2 linked regions of the Arabidopsis thaliana genome follow. The protein of the gene in region 1 interacts with the protein of each later gene in a biochemical or structural test. Each region holds a gene or a part of one and is shown in the gene's direction. Other genes may lie near its edges.

What was found.
Region 2: the proteins of TRO (region 1) and BZIP28 form a complex in vitro, tested with the Arabidopsis thaliana proteins (one study listed by BioGRID).

The regions. Positions count from the first base shown.
Region 1 is NC_003070.9:19,072,464-19,077,301, forward strand, and holds TRO (TRAUCO), read left to right. Parts: upstream 1-1,864; 5' UTR 1,865-1,935; coding exon 1,936-3,199; intron 3,200-3,491; coding exon 3,492-3,757; 3' UTR 3,758-4,082; downstream 4,083-4,838. Other genes in the region: AT1G51440 (alpha/beta-Hydrolases superfamily protein), read left to right, coding at 1-91; ABCG13 (ABC-2 type transporter family protein), read right to left, coding at 4,669-4,838.
Region 2 is NC_003074.8:3,377,578-3,382,400, forward strand, and holds BZIP28 (Basic-leucine zipper (bZIP) transcription factor family protein), read left to right. Parts: upstream 1-1,590; 5' UTR 1,591-1,748; coding exon 1,749-3,324; intron 3,325-3,401; coding exon 3,402-3,853; 3' UTR 3,854-4,044; downstream 4,045-4,823. Other genes in the region: AT3G10790 (F-box associated ubiquitination effector family protein), read left to right, coding at 1-792; AT3G10810 (zinc finger (C3HC4-type RING finger) family protein), read right to left, coding at 4,271-4,344, 4,442-4,823.

The DNA.
Region 1 (4,838 bases):
TGAACCTCACGGACCGGAGGATATCGCTCATCATCTTCAACAAGTTCTTGGGAAGGTTAACGATGATAATTTTAAACCCACAACGACTTAAGTCGAAAATTAAATATAAATAGTTATAAAAATATTTTCGTAATTAATGTGTGGATCACGTTTGATAAATTGAGTATGTTAGTGTTTGATTAATGATTTAATTAAACTTCTATAATTATGGAGGTCATCACCATCCCCCATTCTCTGTCATGTATAAGCTATGATTAGATATATAATATGTGGTTACATGATATCACGTATATATGTGGTTTAGGAGAGATCCAATACAACTTTCATTGGTTAAAAGTTAAGCGGTAAATTCGTACAAATATAACGTGGAAGAAAAGTGGACCACAACAAAGTGCATGCTAAGAGGGCATTGAGTGCGTGTATCACTTGAAAAAATAATAATCATAAATCTCTGTGTTCCCCAAAATATGATATAACAATTACAATATGCGCACGACAGGAATTAAAGGATTCAGAGTTGTCATCATATTAACAGATAATGCGATATGTTCCACAATAAACAGAACAAGAAGTTGTTCCATATCTTTCGAGTTAAAGTTGTTTATATATAGATAGTTTTGATAGATTCTTTAAGATATGACTTTGTAATCTAATTAAATACTTGAAAATCGTAACTCATGAATATACAGAAAGCTCTTTTTGTCCATTGAGATCTCTAAATCTTTCACATCATGCATTGAGGAATCAGAAAGTGCTTTAACCTCAACCTTCTTTTCTCTCAGCCTTCTTAACCACTCGAGCTTTGCTCTCCTTGTCATATGTTTTGTGATCAAGGGATTAATTTGATAAAATTCTTCATATATATCTCAGTCCATACCTCCTTGAATTCAGCAAGGCATGTACTCCATTCTTCTTGCTTCTTCTTCATCATTGTAGGCAATGCACGACCATGATCCTTTTTTTTGTTTTGCTAAATCAAGACTAGGATCCTTCTTAATAATTTCAGTGACTTCCTTCCCATAATCACCATACAATGCATCAATGAATCTCATGTTTTGACCTTTCTCAACTAATTAATAATTTTAAATAATATGAAATTAATTTTTAAGTTTATTACAATAAAAAAATCGATTTTATTAATATTTTACGAGAAGCTTGAGCTAAAATTCCTGAAAATTTTGTTTTATGATTATATTGGTAATAATCCAGCAAAAGAAGAGTTATTCCGAATAGGTTCCCTGGAAAATTGGGATTGAATAGATGTTGGATGACTAGAATACCTCGTCTTTAGAAATAAAGAAGGCTGTGAACTTTTTGTACGACGTATGCCTACTTCTTTGAAATTTTGTGGTTGTTTTAATACTTGCATTTGGTTTTTGGCTCAATTTATAAGTAATCGGAAGTTTTTATTAGTATGTATATTTTTATGCAAGCGATAGGATAAACAAATTTTAGTAAAGAATAAGGATAATAACTCATTCCATCGTATTATACATTATATTTAACCACCACCAATTATAAATATATCTATTATAAAAAGATCAAATTAGAGTACTTATAATTTTTTAACTTTTTGATCTATTAAGTATTGATGACATTCTTTAAAAATATCAAGTAAAACTATTTTCAAATGTTCTATATAATAGTACTTTCCAAATAATAGTATAAAAGTTTAGAAAAAAATATATGAGAAAGCCAAATAATCTATTGTTAGATGCATAAACCGTTTTTATTTTTAAATGGACTAAACTACTAAGAAAACATGGACACCCCTTATCCAAACCCTAGTTTCTTACTGGGCCTCATAAAGCCCACATAAGTCTCTAACATTTAAAAAAAATAATTCACTGTTTCTCTGCCATCCGCCAGTCTCTCAAAAATTTGCAAGTCGGCGAGTGCCACAAACTGGCTGCATCAAAAAAAACTTCTGTTTCAATGGAGTCTCTTCAATCAAATTCCAAAATTGAAGAAGCTGAACAAAATCCCAAAATTGAAGAAGCACAAGTCTCAGTATCGCTTCCCGAAGAACCTACCGGAGTTCTTCTTCCCTCCGAACTGGTGGACGATTCAGCGCCGCCGGAATCATCCGATGCTGTCGAAGAATCAATCGAAACTGCTTCAGAAGCAGAAGTATCAATTTCTCTTCTCGAAGGAACTACCACCGGAACCGCTCTTCTTCCTTCTGAAGAGAATGATTTAGCGCCATTGGAATCGTCCGGTATAATTGAAGAACCAATCGATACTGATTTAGAGAAATTAGATGTAGTAGCTATGGATGTTGATCAACCCGGATCCGATTTGAAAATTGAATCCGATTCATTCTCTGAAGAAGCTCCGACTACTTCTTCCTCCGATAACCCTAAATCTCCGAAACTGGATTCTGTGGCTAATCAGAACGGTAGCGCAATGGAAGAAGACGAAGGAGATGAAGAGCAAGATGATCCACCGCATAAGAAGCTTAAGCAGCTAGATTGTCTTACTTCAGTCGCTGTTAAGGAAGAGGAGGAGCCAGAGCAAGTGCTTCCATCGGAAGCTATGGTTGTGGAGGAAGCGGCGACTCTGGTTGCGAGTGCGGCTAAGAAATCTAAATCGAAGAAGAAGAACAATAATGTATGGGTGACTAAGAGCACACGTAAGGGAAAGAAGAAGAGTAAAGCCAACACGCCGAATCCAGCAGCTGTAGAAGATAAGGTATTGATAACTCCGGTGCCTAGATTTCCCGATAAGGGAGACGATACACCTGACTTGGAAATTTGCCTTTCTAAAGTATACAAAGCTGAGAAAGTTGAGATAAGTGAAGATAGACTTACTGCAGGAAGTAGTAAAGGGTATAGGATGGTGAGAGCTACAAGAGGAGTTGTTGAAGGAGCTTGGTACTTTGAGATTAAAGTTTTGAGTTTAGGTGAGACTGGTCATACACGACTCGGGTGGTCGACTGATAAAGGGGATTTGCAGGCTCCAGTTGGGTATGATGGGAATAGTTTTGGGTTTAGGGATATTGATGGGTGTAAGATACATAAGGCTTTAAGGGAGACATATGCTGAGGAAGGGTACAAGGAAGGTGATGTTATTGGATTCTACATAAATCTTCCTGATGGTGAATCTTTTGCTCCAAAGCCTCCTCATTATGTGTTTTATAAAGGGCAGAGATATATTTGTGCACCTGATGCTAAAGAGGAGCCTCCTAAAGTTGTACCAGGTATGTCATGCGTCACCTGTTCTTTAATTTTCGTGTTCTTGTGGGGTGACTTTTCTGCTTTTTGGTAGTCGCATATGTTTTAAGTAGACTAAAAATGTGTATGAATGTTGTTGCTTGTGATGGTAGCTTTATCATGGTTTGGTAGAGAATAGATAGTGGAGATTCTTCATAAAGATAAATGCCTTAGTTTTGTTTTTGCTACCCTCCACATCTATGATGTAGATGGTATCTGTGCAATTCTGGAAGATTAATGACCAATCTTTCGTTAACGATACCTTTACTTCTGATGCAGGCAGTGAAATATCGTTCTTCAAAAATGGTGTATGTCAGGGAGCGGCCTTCACAGATATTGTTGGCGGTCGTTACTACCCTGCTGCTTCGATGTACACTCTTCCCGACCAGTCAAATTGTCTTGTGAAGTTCAATTTTGGCCCCAGTTTTGAGTTTTTCCCTGAGGATTTTGGTGGGCGTGCTACCCCGAGGCCGATGTGGGAGGTTCCATATCATGGATTTAATGGTAGACTTGAAACTAATGGTTCTGAGGATATGAAGAGTTAGGCAGAACCAGCAGGCGTATTCTTGACATTTTAACACAGTTTTCCCAAACTAGTTCTTGGTTCAGATTTGGATGAGTTTAGTTGTAACAGTCATAGGGTAGCAAATGAACAACAAATGAGTTCTGTACATGTCTACTCTAAAATAATCAGACTGGTTTTTTCTGATTTTACAACTGGATTAGCCATATTTGTTTAAAGTTATTGATTGTTTGTGTATTTTTTTTCCTTACTATGTAATATTTCTGGGAGCTTATATTTGGGTTCCCAAAGTTGAAAATTTACCATTTTTGCTTGGTTTTACACTTTTAAGGTTTTAAGTATCTCGTTGTTTGTTCTCTATCTGTTCAACAAACGCCTTTGGGAGGTTACTTTTGTTAGTTTTGATTCTATTCCCTATCAACTATATGCTAAAAGAGGAGATTTCATGGCACTTAGTGATAAAAGTCAAATATGCCTGGTCTGTTCTGTTCTTGTGCTGCACAGATTATAGATTTGCGTCACTGGTGCTATCAAGCAAGGACCAGTGTTCTACTGCCAGCCAGGTAACAAATCTCCATACCATCTTCTGTTTATTTGATTTCCATAACACAGTTTCTTCTGAAGCTATGTTAGCAAACGAAGTGCCTTATTTGATATATTTACGGTGGTTCGTTGGTAGACTCTCTCTTAGGGGTTCATGCATGCATCACTTGTAATCTGATAATGTAGCCATGCTTATCTTTTTTCTCCAATATATGTATCTCTGATAGATACCATCCTCATGCTAAACAAATCTCATTAGTCAGAATGATAGTATCTCTCTTTTCTTTTTTTTTTCCTTACACAACGGGCTACAAACAGTTTATCAAGTTTGAAGAGAGTGACATCTGACATATTGAAATATATGGAAATTGCATCCTGCTGTATATGCTTCTAATGCAGTGGAGAGTTAAGTCCTTCCTGAGAAGAGAGAGCATGGTGAACAGGGTATCGCCTGGAAGGGAAAGGTGTCATTCTTCTGAAAGAAGGCCTTTTCTGGATATGGCTCAGAGTTCTCTTTGTGTATAACATGTGAATAACTGGGAAAACCTTTTCCCGGAACT
Region 2 (4,823 bases), on another chromosome or scaffold:
TCGATAGTCCTTAACAAAGATTTCACCAACATGTATTTGATAATAAAGTTCTTTGAATCTTTGAATCGACCACGTCTTCTTTTGGCAGTCGACGATCGAGAAATAAATATGCAGTTCTTCCACTCTTGCTCTCGAGAGGATCCATCTTCTGATCATCAAACGGTTGGCTGTTACCCTGATTCGTATCCGCGTATCTGGTATGACTTTTCTCCACCTGTTCGTGGCTTGATCTGCTGTCTAAACAATTCTACTAAAGTGGTAATTGGAAATCCTACTACTTGTCAATTTGAAACTTTACCGAGAGTCAGAACCAAAATATACCAAGAAATATTTCCCTTCTTTGGATACGATCATGTTAAGGATGAATACAAAGTCTTGTGCATGACGATATCGGATGAGTACTATAGTAGATCAGGAAATATTGTGTCCAAGGAGCATAAAGTTTTCACTCTAGGATGTAAACAGAAGAAATGGAGAATGATCGAATGTACGATTAATCATTATCTTACTCCTGGAACTCAAGGAATATTTAGCAATGGGGTTATCTATTACTTCGCTAGGGTCAATGATGATCAGTCGCTAATGTGCTTTGTTGTGGGGTCTGAAAAGTTTAGTGTCGTTGAGTTACCGAGGCCGGCCGTCGAAGTTCTAGCGAACTACGGCGAAAAGATAGCTGTAACGAATTTGTTATATGCTAGTAATGATAGACTTTTTGTATGGATTCTAGAAGATGCCAGCAAACAAGAATGGTCAAACTTTTGTGTCTTGGTTCCTTCTTGGGTAGATATATAGATTTCGACCATTCAGCTTCACGGGTATACTTGGAACCGGCGAGCTTATATTTACACCGGGCTTAAAGCGTGGCCCCTTCTATTTACTGTGTTACGATCTCAAGGAACACACAGCTAGAAAAATCTGCTTCAAAAGAATTGGTTATTATACTTCTTTGAAAGTCTTTTTGGATCATGTAGAGAATCCTATGGTTCTGCCAAAGATAAGGCAATCGGTTGGTGATGAGTTCTTTGGTGTTGCATGAACTAATCTCTCTTCTTTCTTTTCTTATTTTTCAAGTTTCAATTAAGTGGTCGGATATTATTTGTTTAAGACTAGTTCTTATTGGATTTGATGGTCACCCATTGGTTAGTCTTTTGATCAATGGATATTTATGTCTGTGGAATATTGTAATGCAATGTTTTTTTTCTCAACATCTTTGGAATGCAATGTTTATGACTTAACAAGAAAAATGTTTATGACTTGATTATAATAATCTCTGGTTTTGTGCGGAGCTTATACAGCTTCGGTTTTCTTCTTATTTGATTTCTTTTGGGGAGAACAAAGAGTTTTGTGTTTGGCTAGATGGATCTTTATCATCATTTTGGTCGCCTTTTGAATTTTATTTCATAAAGAAATCTTATGTATAAGAAAATAAAACTAATATCGATTCTGAAATAGCAAAAATACCTCAATATTTTCACTAAATCATAAAACGAACTACATTCATCATACAACACATTGTAACATTTCACCATTAATTTCTTAACCCAAGCAACAAGCCAATAAGTAGATAGTTTTTGTTTGACTAAACATACACACGTGTTCGGAGTTTGATGTACACGCGCTGACTGCGCGTGGATGTAATATAATCTTAATTCTTAAGTATATTCGTCGACGTTGCCTTGTTCCAAAGTTATAAACCGTGTGGAACCATCGAGAAGCGAAGCCAGAATAAATTTTCGAATCCTCCGACGATGACGGAATCAACATCCGTGGTTGCTCCTCCGCCGGAGATACCTAATCTGAACCCTAGCATGTTTTCTGAGTCCGATTTGTTTTCTATTCCGCCGCTAGATCCTCTTTTCCTATCTGATTCTGATCCGATTTCAATGGATGCGCCAATCTCCGATCTCGACTTCTTACTCGACGATGAGAACGGAGATTTCGCTGATTTTGATTTCTCGTTTGATAATTCTGATGATTTCTTCGATTTCGATTTATCGGAGCCCGCGGTGGTGATCCCTGAGGAGATCGGTAACAATCGTTCGAATTTGGACTCATCGGAAAACAGAAGCGGCGATGGAGGTTTAGAAGGAAGATCTGAGTCTGTTCATTCACAGGTTTCATCTCAAGGCTCCAAGACTTTTGTGTCCGACACCGTTGACGCATCATCCTCCCCTGAATCAAGCAATCACCAGAAATCTTCTGTTAGCAAGAGGAAGAAGGAAAATGGAGACTCCAGTGGCGAATTAAGGAGCTGCAAGTACCAAAAGTCCGATGATAAATCAGTCGCTACGAACAACGAAGGTGATGATGACGACGACAAGAGGAAGTTGATAAGGCAGATTAGGAACCGTGAAAGTGCTCAGCTTTCGAGGTTGAGGAAGAAGCAACAAACTGAGGAGCTTGAAAGAAAAGTGAAGAGTATGAATGCTACCATTGCTGAATTGAATGGTAAGATTGCTTATGTTATGGCTGAGAATGTCGCTTTAAGGCAACAAATGGCTGTTGCTTCTGGTGCTCCTCCTATGAATCCTTATATGGCTGCCCCGCCTTTACCGTATCAATGGATGCCGTATCCGCCGTATCCTGTTAGGGGATATGGATCACAGACACCTTTGGTTCCCATTCCTAAGTTAAATCCTAAGCCTGTCTCGAGTTGTAGACCGAAGAAGGCAGAGAGTAAGAAGAATGAGGGTAAAAGTAAGCTCAAGAAGGTTGCTAGTATTAGTTTTATTGGAATTCTCTTCTTTGTCTTCTTGTTTGGTACATTGGTTCCTTTTATGAATGTAAATTTTGGAGGAGAACGTGGAAGCTTTGGCGGTTTGTCTAAATATGATGGCCACCGGTATTACGATGAACATAAGGGGAGGGTTTTAATGGTCGGCGATGGTTCTGATGTTAGAAGAAATAGTGGAATTTCTGAAGGAAATATCCATTCTAGTAGGATTAGTCATGGTGAGAGAGATAGTTGTGGAGGAGTAGATTATAATGCTCATCCGAAAGTAGAAGGACGACCAAGTTCGTTGAGCAATGCCAGTGATCCTCTCTTTGCTTCTCTCTATGTCCCAAGAAACGATGGGCTTGTGAAGATCGATGGGAACTTGATAATTCACTCTGTTTTGGCGAGCGAGAAAGCAAGGGGTTTAGGAAAGAAGAATATCACTGAAACAGTAAAAACTAAAGAACCGGATTTGACCATTCCTGGTGCACTGTCTTCTGCATTAGCTGTTCCGGGGGTAAGAGGAAATGCAGCAATGCTTCCGCATTCAACAGCTCTCTCTTCTGAAGGGAAAAGACTTCACCAATGGTTTCATGAAGGTGGCTCAGGTAATTCTTGTTCTCTATGTAGTTTCTACTAAATGGAGTGATCTGGATTTTCAACTCTACATTGCATTCTCTTGCAGGGCCACTAATGGATTACAGCATGTGCACCGAGGTTTTCCAGTTTGATATTGCTCCTGGTGCTATAGTCCCGTCATCAGTCTCCAGCATTTCTGCGGAGCATCTCCAAAATGTCACTACCCACGGCAAGAGAATGAAGAACAGGAGAATCCTTGAGGGACTTCCTGTTTCACTTGTGGCGTCAGAGCTCAATATCACCGGAACCCAGCCAAACAAAGACGCTCAAAATAAGACCTTTAATGGAAACACTAACAAACCCACATCATCATCCTCCATGGTTGTCTCAGTGTTACTTGATCCAAGAGAGGTCGTTGACTCTGAAACCGACAGAGTGGTTCCCCCAAACCCAAAATCACTTTCCCGGATCTTTGTGGTGGTGCTTCTTGACAGTGTCAAGTACGTTACCTACTCATGCGTTCTTCCTCGATCGGGTCTCCATCTCGTAGCCACCTGATTTGAGCTACTCAGATCTTGACCTTAAGTAGGCGAACATTGACTTGTTTATACATACAGACCTTGTTGACTTTTTTTCCCTGTGTTGTATAACTCTTATGTTCTAAGGTTTTGGATTTTAATTTTGAGATAAGCATAAAGTGGAATCCTTGTTTTAAAGGCATTTCCAATAGCTTTAGGCTGTATAATACATCCGATGGTTGCAGAACTTTTCTAATTTAGAAGATATAATATACAAAAGAAGCTCTTAGAGCATATATATTCAATTGGGACTTAAGTAGAAGGCTGCACCCTTTTGTGCAGCATCATTCTATAACAACTCTTCCGGTTCTGTATCTAGTTTCCATATGAATTCATTTTATACATTTAAAAGTTTTGAGTACTCTGTCGATACAGTTTACTAGACATGTTAATGTCGTTATTCATGAAGCCAGGCCACTATCAGCATGAGAAGGACAATCCATGGCATAGCTGGTAAAACCTCAATCGCTGCTGCCAAACACAGAAAGAAGAAGGCATTTGATTAGAATTGGGAGTCTATGATTTGATATATCTTTGCTAAATTGGAAGACTTTAAGTAGCAACTTACATGAAGAGGACTGCGGTTGAGGATGAGCAACTTCGTTTGCATGTGGTTCCCGTGGTTCCGTTATGGGTGGTTGAGCTGCATGGGCAAACACCACATGTGGTAGAGGGGCAGAGATTGGAACTATATGAGACTTGGCTGCAGAAATTGGGGCCGGTGAGTGCAGCTGATGATGTGGTGCCCCAGCAGAAGGAGCAGGCGCAGGTGTGGATGAAAACTGCACGCGTTTCTCCTTGAAATGTACTCTATTCCCTGGGTTGCAGGGTGGAGGTGCAGATGGAGCTCTCTTACGGCTTCTGTGAGGAGCAGGAGAGGCCACAGGTGAAACCTCGGGAGCCATTTTCGGGCTAAGATTGTGGTGGTGGTGGTGATGATGGTTGTGATG